Schizosaccharomyces pombe: one gene and its partners. The gene in region 2 interacts genetically with the main gene of each other region. Each region holds a gene or a part of one and is shown on either strand. Other genes may lie near its edges. The genes, in order: atp10, SPOM_SPBPB10D8.02C, rog1 and ppr8.

Region 1 (4,137 bases), on a different chromosome or scaffold from region 2:
ATTAAAGCATCTTTGGAAGTGCTTGTGAAATGTATTGCTCCAATAATACCTTGTTTTTCAAGTGAGTGTTGGTTGCTGCTAGGACATAATTCTTCCGTTTACTCTAACTGGCCCATTTCCAAAAATAAAAAGGAGAATATGGAGGAGCCCGTTACTATTCCTGTCCAAATTAATGGTAAGGTGAGATTTAAGATTGAAATGCCCAAACTCAATGATGAAAATGAAATACTAAATTTTGTGCTTGAGACGAATGATGGGAAACGTTGGCTCTCTAATAAAAAAGTTTTAAAATCTTTTGTGAAACAAAAAATCATCAGTTTAGTCACCGACTGAAAGTTGGTTGAGACACGAGCTTCATGTTTCAAAATAATTTTGATATTTACCATAACAATGCAATGTTGGTTGCGTAGTTAATTTAATGCTTAAAATTCATTTTGAATGAAAAATATCCTATCTTAATATCACAATGTTTTCTAGTAGCATAGCTTTTCTATCACTGGTATATTTAGGAATCTCTACGTAGTGGGATACTTCTCTAAACTACATACTAGTAAGAACGTCATCTGAAAGCCACATTAATCAACAGAAGAGAAACGTTTGTTTTAAAATCATAACTTAAGCTACTAATTTTTCTCTTATAAAAATTTGAAGATCTCTTTAGCCATGAAGTCTATGCTTTTGAGAGATTCGGTGAAAAAAGCGTCTCAGTTCCAAAGATCGTTGCACAGTGATCCTAACCAAGCTAAAATTCTGCTAGAGGAAAGAAGGAAGCTTCTTGAAGAAGCCAACTCTTCAGCTGACGAAAATGACTCGCATTCAATGGCTACTATCAAATCACATTTTGAAAGACTAAAACGAGATGAGCAACTTCTTAATGGCGTTTTGAAAAAATATGATGCGAAACAGGAAGTTCTATCTCCTGAAGAATTACGAGATGCACAAAACTTTTTAGAAATGCAAGAGGCAAACTCTTTAGACAATTCTATTAGAGGCACTAATGAGCTTCTTGAAAGAGCTTATGCTACGAGGGAAGACTTTGATTACCAAAATAGCGTCTTAGGAAATGTGACCAATCGCATAAACGGGGCGGCCATGTCAATCCCTTTTATTAATCAAATATTAAGGAAAACCTCGATCCGTCGAAGACGTGATTCTATCATTTTAGCTTTACTCATATCTGTCTTGATGCTTTTGTTCCTTTTTTTTCATTAAGTTGCATGTTTTATGAAACGTTTATGAAGGGCATTGATCCCGCCAAAGTTATGAATATGTCATAAAGGTTTAATTAAGATGAAATAATATAAAAGTCCTTTTACTTTTAACCAACGTTTTTATTTACCAAAAACTTAATCGCTGTCTTCAGGTTTTCAATTTCGACATTAGTTGGATCACCGGTTCCAAGCCAGCGAATTTTGCAGGAATCGTCAATTAAATACACATTTCCAACAAGTTTGTTGTTCCATCCTATTTCTGGGAAACTGAACTTATTGTCGTATGCTGTAATATATTCATTCTGCTAGTTAGCAAAAGGTTATAAATTTTGGAAGTAAATAAATCTATCTTATCAAGCGAACAAACTTGTGAGCAGCTTGGACAAATAATGCGTCTACTTACCCAGCACTTTTCTGGTATTGATCTTTTAACTTTTCCTATAAATATCTTCTGTAGCCAATATTTTATTAGATTGGATTGAACATTTGCATAACGAACTGGCAGATAATCAAATGGAGCTAGATGTTGAATCCAATTCCTACATTGGTTTTCTCCAAACGCGTTGCTAAATAATGCAAAGAAAAAGGGCGAGCCTTGCCAATCTTTATATAGCTCTTTGTACTGATTTCGTAATGACTTCCCATGAAAGTTGTACATCCATAAGGCGCTCTAAAACGTGTCAATATTTTTAAGCAATAAACTAATTTTTTTTCATTCTTATTTGAAATTTCCAGAAATGAATATTACTTTTAACCAATTGTTCATACCTTCTCCTTAAATAATCTTGGAGGACTGTAAAACAGCTTACCATTAAATCGACGAACTTCGTTGAAATCTTGAATAGTTGATCTCTTCATTTCATTCAGCAGCTCCTTCTGTCTTTGCTCAGGAGAAGATGTACTCGCGGGTTTGGTAAGTTTTTCCCATAATGTTGGCTTTTGGACTTCAGAAAGCATCGTCGGTTTTACCAGTAAACCTACTGGAATGAGAGCAGATGGGGCTTTTTCTTTTGTATCATTGAGACTTTTGGTGCTAAAAGAACGCAACTTGAACTGATGCTTAACAATCAACCTCGGAATGACTAAATTTTTTAAATAATTATATGCCATGTTTACCAATTATAGGTAGATTAAAGGGGAAATAATCTTTAATTTATTATGCGATTTAAGAAACGCAAGGATGAACTTAATTATTATTATAAACTTCAATAGATAGGTATAGCAGAAAGGAGCTGTTGTTACAGGTGGAAGTACTCTGACGTTAAAAATTCATATCTTAATTTTCATTTTGGTTTTTTAATTTGTTTTTGGACATTAGTATATATCTACGATAAAGGTTTTCTCCTTTTAATTTCATTGTAATATAATTCAAGACTAAAATTGGCTTTTCATTGGATTGCGAATCTTTCATTGAATACTATCTTTTCAACTTACATTGAACGTGCATGTAAGGATAGGAAATGGAATGCTGAGATAATGAACAATACAAACCTTTCTAATTAATTCAATGTTTAAAGCAAACTCATTTAGCGAAAAATTCTAGCTTATTAAAACAGCTGTCAACCAGGGCGTAGAGATTACAATATAAAGACCTTACTTACCCTTCTTAATGTACTACAATACAAAATCATAGTTAAAAGAGTAGCTTTTTACGTCCCTGCCGACTGTTTATGTAGATGCATGAAAAACTATGAGAATATAATTTAGTAATCGTTTATATAAGCTAATACGCATTAATATTATATTAATTCATAATGCTTAAAAATCAAAGCAATTTCAATTTCCAAGTGGGTTAGAAAGTACTAATGGGGGGTCCATATTCTCTTTAAGACATTACTCACTTGAATAGCAATTATGACTTCGTCTACTACCTCAAGTACTATGTGGGGGGGTTGACCACTTATGAAAGTGAACCTACTAAAGTAGTTAGTGATACAAAAAAATAACTAAGTGCGCAATAATTCTCCGTCAACAAATAAATCGTTGAACTAGTATTAGTATATTGGCGTATGTAAGCTAATATAGTCGTTGTTTGCGTAAAACGAATTCAAATGGCTCCCAATCTGTGTTAATACGTTATGTTATGTATGATATAAGCACATTGAACATATCGGGATGAGTCAGTACTATTTTATTATTAACAAAATTGGTTAGAATTGAATATGACAAGTTGAAGACTCAATCAGCTAAGTTTTGTCATAGATCGGATCGGAACAGGCGATTAACAGTGTTGTGCTGAAGAAAATAGACAACAATATGATCAATAGAATCAACATATAACAATTAATCATCATTCATCGAACGAATGCAAGCTTCGCGATTAAATAACCGCGAAAGATTTAGTGAACTAAATATTCTCTCAGCTTTTCATAAATAAATTAAAATTAAAACCCAAATATATTAGAAAAAAAATTAAACAAATGCCAATGAATTTAACAATTAGATCAGTTTACTTAATAAAAGTTAAGTATTGAACTTTCTGACCCTTAAAACAATAAAGAAGGATTAACAATAAGGATACGAAACATTTCAAGAAAACGGTAACTTCTAATCGCAATTGCTGCAGTATTAAAATGTAGCATGACGAGCGAATCTCAATCTTAAGAGTACACAACGAGGCAAAATGATTTTTTTATGTTGCTATCCCACACTTCTCAATACCGTTGGTAACTCATTAGTAATAGTGTTATTCTCACAAATCTCCTTAGCGGTGAAAATTCCAATTCCATGATTCATAATCAATTCTGCTAGGGGTAACTCATCAGTGTCATCTAAATCAACGTGATAAGGGATGTAATGCAGCATAGTCAAATTTTGAAGATAACTGCTTGTTTGTAGCATAGCAACAGGACACACTAATAAAGTGGATGCTTGAAACTCGGTTGTGTTTTCTTCAGGCAAATTGACGACTTTAACCTCTTCATAG
Region 2 (4,589 bases):
TGGCAGAGTCGTGATGCCCCGAGATATTATCCTGCTTGGATTGTTCAAATAGTAATTGCTTGGTCTGTTTCTCCCTTTGTATTGCTGATCATTCGCTGGATTCTTGTTCGAAGGAACAAAAAGCGCCTTGCTCTTCTTGAGCAGAATAAAGAACAGTATGAAAAGACTTGGATTGAGACGATTGATTCTTCTGGAAATCACGTTTCCGGTTTTTACGAAAATTCTATGCTTGATTTGACAGACCAGGAGAACCTATCGTTTATTTATCCCTTATAATTATCCATTTAAACGAAGGAATAAATCTTAAAAAATAACTTTTTGAAGTATTCATGAGAAATGTTTACAAAATAATTTCAAATTCCCAACAGTCATGAAAAATCCTTCTACTATTTGCTTTTTTTTTTGCAAAATTTTGTATTTTTAAACTACTTGCCCGTAAACTCTTAACTTATTTTAGACTACTACAAGACAGTTGCTTTATTTACTTGTTTTTTTGTTTCCTTTAGGATTCCTAACCTTTAATAGTAATCTTCGTCTTTAGCGAAGAATAGTTTGAAATTTTGTTTGTATATATTGCTGAAAGCTTTATTCAGTTACTATTTACATAGATTGAAAAGAAGAACTAGCATTCATTGCTAAATAAAATGGAGGTCGATTTTTATCCCCAATGGTTTCTCATAGTTTACTTTGCTGCAAAGTTGCGATTGAAAAAGAGATGTTCTAAAAAAGTATTTTTATATCAATTATAAAGCCTAATACGTAGGGGAAATCCAAACCAGTTAAATTTTTCAGCTCGGCTTTGCATTCCATCTGATAATTTTCGCTGTAGATTATCATATTTAAAAAACATTGAATCAATTGGTAACTTAGCATATATACGTTGATAGATGAAATCAGCTATTATTAGATTTTATAATCTTTAAACTGTGGTGTTTAATAAGTAAAAGACTGGAAATAGCCCATTAAATTAAACAATTAGCTGAACCCGAGTTCCATATTTGCAATAAGTTTTTTACCATTAATAAACTGCTATGTGGTGTTTCATTAACAGTAAAAAATTATTGTAAAATTCAATATCATGAATAATCATTAAAGATTGTGCTTAGCTGGTTTGAACAAACCGACGTTTTCGGCAACAAAATCGTCTGGGGCTGTTACTACTCCAGTTTCAGCTTCGTAGACCAACCAATACTCGATGAGTTCGTTTAGAATATCTGGATGGACTTTCGCTAGATTTTCAAGCTCACCTTTGTCCTGGGAAAGATCATACAGCTCCCATTCTGTTTTTATTCCTTCTTTAGGTACATATATTGCCTTATAATTTCCTTTTCTGATAGCTCTTTGCCCGAAAAGTTCCCAGCCGCTAAAGTCAGTATCTTTGTGTACGGGTTTTCCATGCACAAAATGGTCAATCCAAGGTTTCCCACGGGGGATTACAACATCTCGTCCTTGAAATTTGTGCCCTGGGTGAGGGACTTCTGCTAACTCAAGGATGGTTGGCAGGATATCCATAACCGTAACAAACTCATCGGAGATGATGTCTGGCTTGATCAATGGAGGATAGCGAATTATAGCAGGACATCGAATACCACCTTCTGTAATAAAACCCTTGCTAAGTCGAGAAGGAGCGGTCGCAGCCTGTGCCCATCTTGGTCCGTACCAAATAAATGAATTATAATTACCCAAGTTTTCCAGTGAATTGTCAAAATACTTAACCGGTGGTTTTGTGCTTAATACCGGGATTGCTTCCAAAACTGACCCTTCTGCACCGTTGTCTGACATAAATATAACAAATGTGTTGTCAAGTTCTCCAATAGTTTTCAAGTAGTCAATAACACGACCAATATTCAAATCTAATAATTCGACCATTGCAGCATAAACTTCCATCGTTCGCGCAGAAAATTCTTTCTCTTCTGTTGTTAGTTCGTCCCATGACTTGGTTCCCATTCCATCTACAGGTGCTGGAATTACATTTTCTGGTATAAGTCCCAAATCCTTTTGGGCTTGCAAGCGATTTTTTCGTAACACATCGGGGCCTTCACTATATCGTCCACGATATTTATTAATATATTCTTTTGGTGATTGCAACGGCCAATGAGGTGCTGTAAATGGGAGGTAAGCAAAAAATGACTGGGATTTTTCACGATTTTTTAACTGATCAATTAATTTTTCTGCAAAGTAATTGGACGAATAAAAATTTTTTAAGCTTTTGTGATCAACAGGATCATGATTGTGGGTATACAATGGTGGTAAAAAAGGTACAGCAGGGTTTTCTCTAGTACCAGGTTCATATGCAAAATGATTACCACCTCCAGGTAAAAGTGCAAAAGATTCTTTAAATCCTCGCTTTGAAGGGTAACGATCTGGGGTTAGTCCAAGGTGCCACTTTCCAGACATTGTGGTATAGTAACCCGCTTCCTGTAGAATCTCTGGTAATGCAGCAACTCTATCATTTAGGTAGCCTTCGTACCCAGGCTTTCCACCCCATACTTTCGAAAACCTGCGTACTGTCTCTGCCATTTGCCCTAAACCTGCTATGTGATTGTCTGTACCGCTTAATAACATAGATCGAGTAGGCGAGCAAGCAGAGGCTGTATGAAAGTTTGTCAACCGTACACCTTCCTTTGCAAGCCTCTCAATATTTGGAGTGTGTATTTCACTTCCAAACGGAGAAACATCTGACCATCCAAGATCGTCAGCTACGATGACCAAAAAGTTTGGTTTTTTAGATTCAGCTTGTTTATTAAAAGCCATAGTTACTATTCAAATTTTTTTTGATTGCGAATAAATTTTTATGCAGCTCAAACTGTAATTTTTATTTTATGTTCATAAAGGGCATGTGAGACAAGAGACAGCCCACAAGTTGATTAAAATATGAAAAAATATATTTGCAACAATTGTCTTCCGTAATAGATTGCAAAATTACAAATACCTAATGAAGAAGTATGGCGTGCTATCACGTAAGCTTTGAGTAACATCATCCATATTAAAAAAGATACTCATACATTCCAATTTACTGGATCAAACTGTAATTTACTTATCTGAATATTTTAGAGATAAGATTCAGTAAATCAAGTTTAAAACTAATTACTGTCACTCACTCAATATGTGCAAAACTGAGTTTACTGACCAGGAATTGACTTTTTTTTTTTATTTATCAAGGAAATATTAATTGAGTTATCAATCCCAAAGGAAAATATGTGAAAATATTTAAACACTCGCCAAATTATATTAATTGATCTTTATATCAATAAATGCTTTACTCTAGAAAAAATCGGTTTCGGTAATATACTACAAAGGAACCTAAATAGATTTTGAAGCTTTATACATATAAGAAAACATTAATTTTCTAAAAGATACCAAATGATAATTAACAAGGACGTCGATTTTCGTTATTTTGAACTTTCAACGAGAAATGTCAGTGGAAGATTCAACATATTTTCTATGAGATAAATTAGATATAATAACATTTTGCTTTTGACAATAACTGAGAAAAATCATATTTATACCTAGATTTGTTGAGTGATACGAATTTCATACAATTTAATGGGGGTAAACTGCGATTAAAATTACGTTTTGGTCCTTTGTATTGTCTTATTGATATGAAATATCAGACACGAATATTTTCATACTAAGTGGTAATAATTAATTTACAACTGACCTCGGATTCTCTTTTCGTTTGAAATTAAAATAATACTTAATTATTACAATTGGAATTTAATAATCTCGATTAGTGGACGTAATATATATGAAGATATGAAGAGTATAAAAGTATCGAGATGTATCATAATAAAGCTTAATGCTATATATCTGAAGATTTTTTTCTTGGTAAATTGTTTCCGTAACTAAGGGCCGTCCAATAATTAGACTTCCTAAGTTCAAAAATAGTGGACCAATTGTTAAAAAATACAGATAAAGAACATCTTAAGACATTCACAATATACAAAAACAACTTGTTTCAATTGTAGGAACTTGTAAAGTTAAAGGATTAAGTTGTTGTACAGAAAGGATCTTTGCGTAATGTTGGATCCGAGAAAAGATGTAACATTCTCAAACAATCCATACATCATTTCCCTTCAACGCACTTTTGGTACTATCAATTGCAATTATAAGTGAATTCAAATTATATCAAAAGAGTTACGTAAATTCATATTTATCAGATTTGGTCTGATATTATGTTAAAGTGTAAACTTATTGAGCAGCACCCACTATTTTCTTTTTACTCATTATTATATCGGATGTATTCAAACTTGGTTTACATTTAAATAGTAATAGCAAATCGTTTTAATTACAAATTAGAATTTACACGTGTTAAGTTGTCATTGTTACTCGGTAAATGCATCCTAGATTATGACTATAATAATTTTGTTTAAACATTCCTTTTCTTAGCATGTTTTCATTTGTGTTCGATGGGTAAAAAGCTAATAATATTATTATAAAATAAGCTGTATTATAATAATAGGTTGTCTGAGCCGAAGCAAGTAATTGTGCTAACTACATTCCCATATACGCTTATTATTGCAAGGAATTTTAAATGACTTGGAAATGATTAAAAAGCAAAATTAATTGGCTGTTCACTTTTATATATA
Region 3 (5,664 bases), on a different chromosome or scaffold from region 2:
CAACTCCAATGAAAATGTTGGCGTGGATGTTGAACTTGTATCAGCGATTAGCATTGATAATGAGACCTTTATAGAAAGGAATTTTACTGATACCGAGCGAAAGTACTGTTTTGCAGCTCCTAATCCCCAAGCTAGCTTTGCCGGACGTTGGTCAGCCAAAGAGGCTGTCTTTAAGTCTTTGGGTATTTCCGGTAAAGGCGCTGCAGCTCCATTGAAGGATATCGAAATTATTTCTTCAGAGTCTGGTGCTCCTGAAGTAGTTTTGCACGGAGAGGCTGCGAAGGCTGCAACGACCGCCGGTGTGAAGAGTGTTTCCGTCAGTATTTCCCACGATGATAATCAAAGTGTCAGTGTTGCTTTGGCTCACAAGTAATTTACGTTATATTGTCTTTCAACATTGGTATGCGGATTTTCGCATTCCCTTCAATCGTTTGATTTAATACACTATCTTTAATCTTTTTGTTTACCTCAAATGCTTTGAAATGGTTATCGATTTTTGTAGTCGTTATATACGCAGTTAGAAATAAATTACTTTTAACCTTATAAATTATTATGCTCTAAAAAAATGCAGTATCATTAAATTTAAACGAATGTCTTAACACGTATGAGTATTTAAACTGATATTGAGTTATCTTCATAAATTTCTGAAAGCCAGGCAGCGGTTGTTGTTTCATCGAAAGAAATGGGGTTCATATATGCTGTTGAAGTGTTTTGCTCGAACAAAATTTCAGTTAGATGCTTAATCACTGTCCAACCGTAAGCATTCGGAAACCGCCTACGAACAATCATGGTATTGTGCGCATCACCATCGAGTCTAACAGCAACCTTTCTCCACGCAAGCCTATGCCAGTTTTTGGCAATAGTAATTTCGTTAGACAAAAAACCATTATTCATGTTGTTTAGCTCAGTAATTCCATCAAAAGTAGAAAAAGAGGCAGCTGGATCATGGACATTATCAGATACAACAACTTTATGCAGATGATATTTAAAAAAGTAAGAATCTGTCGGAACAGCTGGGATAAACAAATTTGTAAAAGTGTTGACAACTCGTTGTGCAACTCCTGAAAACGTGGAAGTTGGATCTAATTTAGGGGCTGAGCAAAAAAATTGGTTTGAAGAATTTGAGACATCTAATTCATCTGAGCCAAGACAATTGGGTTCAGTAGGCTTCCTAGCATTTTCATCCTCATTTTTTACTAATGGAATTTCAGTATCTGTAGTTTTGGATGCCGAATAACTGAACAATCCTACAAAGGATTTAAGAGCTTTAGAAAATGAAGATCCAGATTCTTCTGAAGAAGCATGGATTTTCTTTGCATTATCTCCGACACTTTGAACTGTTTGCTCATTTTCTTTTAGTGTTGGTGAAATGCCATTTTCCATATGCGTAGGCATAACCTTATCTGAACCCTCAGCTTCCTCTACCTTACCCAAAGAACTAACTTCCATTGCGCTAGTTCCAAAAGGGACGATATAGTCATTGGTAGTATTTGCAAATAATATTCTTTTTTCAAAAAACGAAACAGCTTGAAAGAAAGGCGTGGAAGGATCAGACATCAAAACAAGGAAAGGTCTTGATTCAATGGAGTGATTCAGTGGAGTTAAAGATAAGTCTTGTCCTGTCTTACCAATGATACCATAGGACAAAGCCTTACCAATATAAGAAGGATGTTCACCAGCAACACCGAGCCAAGGAGTTGCCAAAGTTACAAAAAACACAGGGTGAATAGCCTGAAAAAAGGCACCGTGCGTTTTTGCATGTACATAACCAACAGCATATGTTTGAACCAATCCACCAAGTGAGTGGGCGACAACTGATATATGGGAATATCGAGGAAAAGATGCACTTCCCCAGCCCGTAATATCCAACAGCCATTCACCAAGTCGTTTACCCAGCCAGCGAACCCCTTTCTCAGTCTGACAGTAGTTACCGGTAAATCCTCGAACAACTACTAGTTCCTTAACAGATTTTGATGATTCTATTAGTTTTTCTTTTAAATACTCCATATCAGCACCAACATTAGAATGCATTCCATGAGTTAGCACCACCAAATGTGAATTCTTTGAATGAAATGAAGAATACGGAAGACGCCATAAATTTTCCGGAGTTTGATGTTCAACGTGTAGAGCAGGGAATGCATGAAGAGTATCGATATCAGCAGCTGACATGGCTCGAATGGAATGTTGAGATTGCGATATAGCAAGCTCAAAGTTAATAGATCTATCTTTAAAAATCGCCTGACTTGCAATTTCAATGTAAATAGGCTGCTGATTGGAAAAACATGAATAAGGTACACAGACCCAAAAACTAGTAGAGGGCTGTACCTGAGGATCAAAGTTTAATAAAGAATTTTTTTCATCAAAAAATTGGTCATTCCAAACGCTAACGCATAATGTAAATGGACCTTGAAGATAGGCTGCCTGGCGGAAACGTGCTTCTCTATTCCTGACACGAATCCAAAGTACCGAGTTAGTCGAATTTATGAAGGGAGCTGTAGAGTCGCTTCCTGCCAAGGGATTTTTTACTTCACGAAGATTAATAGAAGAGAATGAAGTACCTACAGAAGGAGAAGAAGAGGTATGAGAGACACCTCTTGTTTGTTCAGGTATGTTGATTGCATTGGTATTATCTGTAAACGCACCAACTTTATGATAATCTTTTGAAGAAGATGAAAAATCGCTGGAAAGAAGAGGTGAGGATTCTGAATTTGCATGCTTCGGATTCGTGCTACTATTATTCTCTGAGATTTGCTTGCTGATATTCTCCCCACTAGAGATTGTCATCCCACCTGAACCTGCTCTATCCTCGATGCTACCACTCTCTTTCTTAGTCACTGAATTGAGGTTCACAGTGGGGGGCACAGTTGTAGAAGACGTTGCCGAATGCAAATTGCCCCCACTCTGCACAAAAATTCGAAATCGATGTATTTGACCTAAACCAACTGTACCATGCCAATGTTAGAACAAGTATTAAATATTTATATGCCATCCCAAAATTTTTGCATCGAAACAAGCATAACAAATCGAAACTTTAAATAACGAGCTGATAATATCAACTTGCAAATACAATTTAAAGGAGTGGTAAATTTTGTTTAAAGTAACTTACCGTCATCTCGTTGTACATATACATTCATAATGTCAGAAGTCAAGCGATGACAACTCAAAAACTAGTAAATCTGAAAATTAGCTATTCGTGAAAGGTGAGAGATATCAATTATTTTTCAATACCGGTCAACGAATAGGGATAAAATTTTATCTGTTTCAATTAGTAAATCGCTAGTTGCTCATATCACGTAAAAAGTAACGCGAATTTATCAGTGTCCTACCGGTAAAATTTGTTCGCTCGATTCCTTTGTTAGACTAGCTGTTCGACGAACCTATATAAACTCAGTTTTTCTAATTTTTGAGCAAAAGCAAAAATCGAACGACTTCACGGGAAATAAAGCAAGATGGTAAGAGATGCATAAAAAGCTTTCTTTAATGAAGAAGACACCAAAATTGAGTCCTTTGCTAACAATTAAAGTCGTATAATGGAATTGGATTACCCACTCCAAGAGGATCAGGAACAAATGGATACGTAATGCGGAATCTGTCTCACGTAAAAAAATATGACAAAAATACAAATCTACAGTCAAATCGAAATGCAAAAGCTCTGGAAAAACGGGTTCAAGATCCTTCAATAAGCGAGCATGAATGCCGTCGACAAATTGAGTCGAAGTTGTTGTTGTACAGAGAGCAGTTGTTGGAGGAGGTCAGTTCCCAACACAGCACTGATGCAGCGGCATCTGATTCCAATACAAATTTTGGGACTGAAAACCCGAAGCCACCTAAAGCAATTATAAAAGATGAGCAATCACAATCGAAAACTAAATCTTTAGATGAAGCTGATGTAGAAATTTTAGTACAAAAATATCGAGAACAGTTACTTAAAGAATTGCAATTACAAAAATCTACTGAAAAAGGAAAAAATTTTGAATCCATTCTTCAACCTCAGAAAAGAAAAGAAACAAGAGGATTTCACTCGAAAAATGACGATGATGGGCGATTAGAAGAAAGAGACGATTTGAGATCATCAGTTGACGATGATTATTATGATTACCCGCGTTATTCCGAGAGGAAATCATTAAATTCAAAAAGGCATGTGGACAATTACAATGAAAATAGAAGAAGACATTACGATTCGTATTCCTCCTACGATGAATTAGAAAGACGACGGAGTAGTAATGAAAGTTACTCAAGGCGTTCTGAATTACCCAGAAGAGATTATAATAGACACGATGAACGGGAAAGGTATTCTTATCATAGAAGGAGAGAAAGAAGCAATTCACCCTCCTATACGAAGAATGAGTCAATTCCTGTTGTGGACAGGGATTCCTCTCCTGAGGGTGGCGAAATTGTATGAGGCCCAAAGAGTTAGGCCAGTTAAAACAATAATATAATAGGCAATTCATGCAAGCATGTATTGTTTATTAATATTGGATAATTATTCGGGTCATCAACAATCGTTGGATTAATATGAATATTTGGTTAGCAATACACGTTAGTCAAATCCCATGAAGCACACGACTGTTCAATGATATAAAAAATATTATTCTTCAAAGAAAAAATACTATCGACTTTATATTAAGGCTGTTAAGTTGCACGATTTAAACATCATTTGATATTTTTCTTTTTCACGGAGGGATAATGAAGCAATTTTAAATTTACAATTACGCTTTTACATTTGTATTTTAAATTCATTAATTAAGCATAAAAGAATCTTTTTAATAAAGATTTTCGAGATTATTCACGCGATTTTAGTCAAAGTAGCTCTTGGCGGCTTTGTTTTCCTGCATACTGTAAATCTCAGAGCTTTTATACCAATAATGTTTATTATATATATTTTACAAAATGAACTTGCTTTAAAGCAATATTAATTATATAATAAAACCAATTTATAAAAAAAATTATAATATAAGTTTAATTATAAATAATACAATTTTTATTTTCTGATGATCTTCGGATCACTTTGGTCAAATTGAAACGATACAGAGAAGATTGTAAGTAACAATATTTACCAAGGTTCGAGTCATACTAACTCGTTGTTTAGAGCATGGCCCCTGCACAAGGATGACACTGCGACATTGAGAGAAAACCCATTTTTTTTTCTAAACAAAATTAATCATACATTCAAATCTTGATTTCCAATCGCTTTAACTTTTTTAAAATAAATATCTATTGTTTCATATAACTTTCAATTTCCTAGATACTACAGTACATTAAACACGTATTACAACTTCTTGCTAAGTCGCAAAGCATTAATTAATTAGTTTTCTGTAGATAATTGAAAAGAAAAAAAACATTTTTTCATCGAAATTTTTTATTGGACAGGTAAATATATTTAACGCGATTACTCTATCGAAATCTGAATTAAAAACTAGTTAAAAATTTTCGACTAGCTTGTTTGTTACTATCGCCAATATACCAAGCTTTGTTCACAAAGCAATTGACTAGATGTAGGTTCATATAGCATATTATACGAATTGGCAGCATCAATGGGTAGGAACAGTGAGCTCGTATTTCACTTTAACGTCTCAAACGGAGCAAAGTTAGCCTCTTCTAAACATTATCAGCATTGGTCATTCCTGACTCCCTTCTATGTTCATATATTGTTTCTTGAATTAC
Region 4 (4,182 bases), 4.3 Mb from region 2:
ATATAAGCATTGCTAAACATAACTCATTTATGTTTTATAGACATTACTTTCAAAACATCAAATTTTTCTATTTATATGCTCTTTTTAACAACCACCATACCTAAATGAATTACTATTTTAAACTTAGTATATTTTCTAGGCAGCGTATTTTTTGCGAGATAAGCAGTTAAAATTTAAACTAATACTTTAATGTAAAGCAAAATTTGTGATTCATAGAGTACAATAAAGCACTTTGGTCTCACATTAATACAATGACATACACCGACCCCAGCTGTTTGAGTGCATATAAAGCATTAAAATATAGTGATAATAATTTAACTTACAAATTTTCCACTAGCAAGACATACCTACAAATACCGGGAAAAATATCCTCTAATATTCGTTTAAAGCTGTCTTTAACAGCATAACTTAGCGCGGTTTAAATCCCTTACTTTTCGTACTTGTCATAAACCAGGCAAAGCTTCTAAGTATTTCAAACTATCCATATCTCTTGAGAATAAACAGGTGTTTTTAGATGCTAAACTATTAAGACGAACACAAAACCTGTATCTGGAATAAAAAAATATATATTTAATATAAAAGATGGCTATAGCAAAAAACAGAAAGGAGTATGTACGTTAAGGAAAATTAACAAATATCAAAGAGGTAAACAATTAAACCCATCCAGGTAACTTCATAAAACGAAAATCAAAAATCACCACCGAAACGTTCCTAAATAAAATAAATAACTCAATTTGTGAAAGTGTGGGACATATTAAAAGATGGGAGTGAACACTTTTGAACTTTAATGCATGCAGGTAATATGGCTGTGATGTACACATTTAATCGTAATCTCGTTAAAAGGAAGAACTATATGAGATTATCCAAAGTGCAAAAAAATTTATGGCGAACGTATATGTTTACCGTATTTTGATAGCACCATATTCAGAAATTGCAGGCAACTTTGTTGATCATCTCTGTCAGGTTGAGATAGAATGCAGTCCTTTAGGAGATTTATTTCTTTATCTGCAACAGAAATGGAAATAGCTTCAAGACGATACTCAAGATTTACCCAAGCCTGCGAAATTTGCTCACATGTGCTTGGCAATAAACAGTATGCTTTCAATAATGACCGATAAGTGACATGAGTAGGCTTTAACCCGTACTTGTCTATCATATCAAATCCAGCAGAAAGCCATTTTACATCCTTTAAACGACTAGCAATAGAGAACAAGGTGTTGGCAGTACTAATGGATGGTTTGAACTCCTTTACATCTGACATCTTGTTGATAAACGTAGTGATAAAGTCGGTAGCCTTTTTAATATCCCGATCTCGTTCAAATTGCTTCATTGAAAGACTTAAAATAGCATTTGTCAAACGAGTGATATCTTTGGGTGACACTGAAAGATAATAATCGAAAATAGTTAGCAAAGGATCTAGAGAATGGTGTGCTTCAAAAAGTCTTTGAAGTAACCAAACGGTTGTATAGATCGTTGGTAGATTTCTTTCGTTAAGATTAGAATTTTTCAGATAAGCAGCAGCTTGATCGACGAGACCTTTGTTGACAAACACTGAAATAATGACATCGGAGTGAAAACTTGTTAGTCCGTTAAATTGAACTAAAGCTTTATGAGCTTTACTGCTAATACCTTGATCTTTGAAAACAGTATAAATCAAATACACAGCAACCAATTCATTTACAACTTCTTTCCCTTCAAGTTGCTCGTGAATGGCTGAACCTATTTTTCCACACTGTTCAAAACTGGCACCTCCAAGTATCTTAGCTTGAAGTGCTGAGATGTAGAGGTTGCCTAAAACTCGTTCATCTTTAGGTAAAAACTCCATATGGCTTAAGCTCATATCAGCAATTAATGAAGCCTTGTCAAAAAGGTTTAGGTCGATATATGATTGGAGCATAATTCGCCAAAACCTAGCAGAGGCAATCTCTTGGTGTTCAATTGCATATCGAAGTATATCATCAAGTTTGTCGAGAGTAGCTTCATCTACATTACCTCTCCCATTGAGCATTTTAATCCGATCTACCAAAAACAAAATGTATCTATTAATGGTTTGACTATCTAAAATGCCAAATGGTTTCAGGCTGCTGAAAGTAGCAACGGTTTCCGTATACTTGCGCGCCTTCATTTCATCATTTAATTGTTTCAGCTATTTACCTGTTAGAAAAAGGTGGAAACATCAGCCTTTACATACCAAATTTTGAGAATTCTGCCTTACATGTTGTTGAGTTTCAGCGGTGAATGAAGTTTGTAACCCAGAATGTAAAGGCGGAGCGGTGAAAAGGGTACGCGTATTTTGTAAAAGTGCATCTGACACTTTAGCATTACTACTACGCAGCAATTTCCGAAAAATTTGGCTCCCAAATCCTTGCATGGTATACGCTTGGGGTAAGTTTGTTGTTGCTGAGTCATGTTGTGGCTACTCTCTACTCAGTCAGGATTGATCTAGAAAAGATCAGCAAAATGGCGTTTCCTGAATATGTTAGAACTGATTCTATTTTATTTTTCTTTTCCTATAATAGTTCAATCATGTAGTAACAAAGCAACTTAACTAAGACTCTGCTGCATGCTTAGGCACATTCTTTGCAAATTAGTTAAAACCGGCATTTACAATATTTTTAAAATTTATACAATCAGTCTAGTTTAATTTAGGTAATTTAATAGATAGGACTTCAAAATCCCTGTAAAAATATAATGAAAAGTAATTTTTTCAGTTGCATCAATTAAAGGCGTCGCTTTCATATAAATTCTCAAAGCATTTTATAAGGACTTTCAAAGGATGGCAAGTAGTGATTGAAAACCAACACTTCTTTTTAAAAGGTCTACTGGTTATCAACAAAATACATGTCTATGATGAATTAAATTTAAAATTAAAGAAAGGACAAAATGTTAATATTGAAATATAGAAATCAATAACTTTCAAAAGTATATTTTTTAACAGCGTACCCAATTATCCAAAAGATTACATATAAAACTAATTTAACAGACATTCAGTCAGAAGAAATATTCTGAAGACTAGACTTTACGGCTAGACATTTCGATTTTAGGACTGCAATGCTTTTAATGAACAAGACATCGGGCTTCATAATACCGGTGCTTTCAACAGAAAACAAATAATGATCGCGTACGCGGCCTAATTGCACCTTATCTGCAAATTCGGGATGTCTCAAGCATTCGCGGGATACGGTGTCTTTTCGAACGTCTGCTACACGGGCTTGTTTTTTACCATCAGGTCCTTCTTCAAGCTCGATGACTCCTTTAGGGAAGCATTTTTGAAATTTAACTGCATCTTCACCTTCAATAGGAGACAAGATATGTATAGTAGGCAATAAGCGGTAGGAGGCAGTAGCAACAGGAGAAAACTTAGCATGGTCTTGTCCAATACCTAAGATTGCATGAGCTTCTAAATCGATTTCCTGGCCAGGACGCAATTTTGCAACAACAATATCTGGGTTGACTACTCGTATAGGATTGTCAGCAAATCGCTCTTCCTGTCGACCTTGCGGTTTCCAAATTAGATCACCCGAATAAACCTCAGAGTTAACGTAAAGTCTCTTTGGATCTTTTTCATCTGTAGCGGCATTCTTATTAAACTCGCATTTCTTATTAAGGGAAAAGACAACAGTATCGTAATCAGTATGAGTTGCCTCTTGTCCTGGCAGAGGATGTTGAAACCATTTAAACATGTCAGGATCAGCAGATATAGGTACAAGACCTATTCTGTGAGACAAAACCTCATCTTGTATTATGCTCGTATTGTTTATGATATACACGAACTCAAATGCAAGAGTTGGGATCTCGGCGATTAAAATCCTCCTAAATGCATTTGCAATGGATGCATCAATTCCAGAAATTTCAAATACCATTGTTTCTTGATCGAGAGACGTAATCGAAACTTTTAAATTTTTTTTAAATTTATCAAGATCCCAGATGTTGTCTTCATCAAAATAATAACCTGGAAAATCTACACTTCCTACATCTGTAACACGATCAGAAAGGACAGAGATTTCTGTCCTTGATCTGTCAACCGCTGCCATTTTTAATTTTATGAAAAAAACGGTGAGAAGTTGCAATATAAACTTTTAAAACCTTTATATGCGTAAAAATTCGCTATTGTGTGGTAAACACGATAGTGCGAATAAAAGTAAGACATTGCAAATTAACTGACAATAGTAGTAGAGCACT

What was found.
Region 1: mutations in SPOM_SPBPB10D8.02C (region 2) and atp10 together harm fitness more than expected from each alone (negative genetic interaction), as found in Schizosaccharomyces pombe (one large-scale study listed by BioGRID).
Region 3: mutations in SPOM_SPBPB10D8.02C (region 2) and rog1 together harm fitness more than expected from each alone (negative genetic interaction), as found in Schizosaccharomyces pombe (one large-scale study listed by BioGRID).
Region 4: mutations in SPOM_SPBPB10D8.02C (region 2) and ppr8 together harm fitness less than expected from each alone (positive genetic interaction), as found in Schizosaccharomyces pombe (one large-scale study listed by BioGRID).

The regions. Positions count from the first base shown.
Region 1 is NC_003424.3:780,824-784,960, forward strand, and holds atp10 (F1-F0 ATPase assembly protein), read right to left. Parts: upstream 2,449-4,137; 5' UTR 2,322-2,448; coding exon 1,980-2,321; exon of another isoform or gene 1,882-1,979; coding exon 1,615-1,881; exon of another isoform or gene 1,514-1,614; coding exon 1,319-1,513; 3' UTR 1,213-1,318; coding exon of another isoform or gene 664-1,212; 3' UTR 524-663; downstream 1-523. Other genes in the region: SPOM_SPAC4G8.09 (leucine--tRNA (Leu) ligase), read left to right, coding at 1-333; SNARE protein Gos1, read left to right, coding at 664-1,212; smp3 (alpha-1,2-mannosyltransferase), read right to left, coding at 3,852-4,137. UniProt on the Schizosaccharomyces pombe protein: Involved in assembly of the mitochondrial F1-F0 complex.
Region 2 is NC_003423.3:82,678-87,266, forward strand, and holds SPOM_SPBPB10D8.02C (arylsulfatase), read right to left. Parts: upstream 2,842-4,589; 5' UTR 2,755-2,841; coding exon 1,090-2,754; 3' UTR 552-1,089; downstream 1-551. Other genes in the region: SPOM_SPBPB10D8.01 (cysteine transporter), read left to right, coding at 1-276.
Region 3 is NC_003424.3:2,561,749-2,567,412, reverse strand, and holds rog1 (lipase), read right to left. Parts: upstream 3,524-5,664; 5' UTR 3,453-3,523; coding exon of another isoform or gene 3,450-3,452; 5' UTR 3,327-3,449; exon of another isoform or gene 3,257-3,326; 5' UTR 3,135-3,256; coding exon 3,107-3,134; intron 2,986-3,106; exon of another isoform or gene 2,943-2,985; coding exon 613-2,942; 3' UTR 543-612; downstream 1-542. Other genes in the region: fatty acid synthase alpha subunit Fas2, read left to right, coding at 1-373; protein Cwf21, read left to right, coding at 3,450-3,452, 3,524-4,402.
Region 4 is NC_003423.3:4,393,066-4,397,247, forward strand, and holds ppr8 (PPR repeat-containing protein Ppr8), read right to left. Parts: upstream 2,383-4,182; 5' UTR 2,372-2,382; coding exon 2,192-2,371; intron 2,147-2,191; coding exon 881-2,146; 3' UTR 545-880; downstream 1-544. Other genes in the region: DNA-directed RNA polymerase I and III subunit Rpc40, read right to left, coding at 2,988-4,034. UniProt on the Schizosaccharomyces pombe protein: Mitochondrial RNA-binding protein involved in mitochondrial translation. The cox1 mRNA is one target but it is not clear if ppr8 has a single or multiple targets.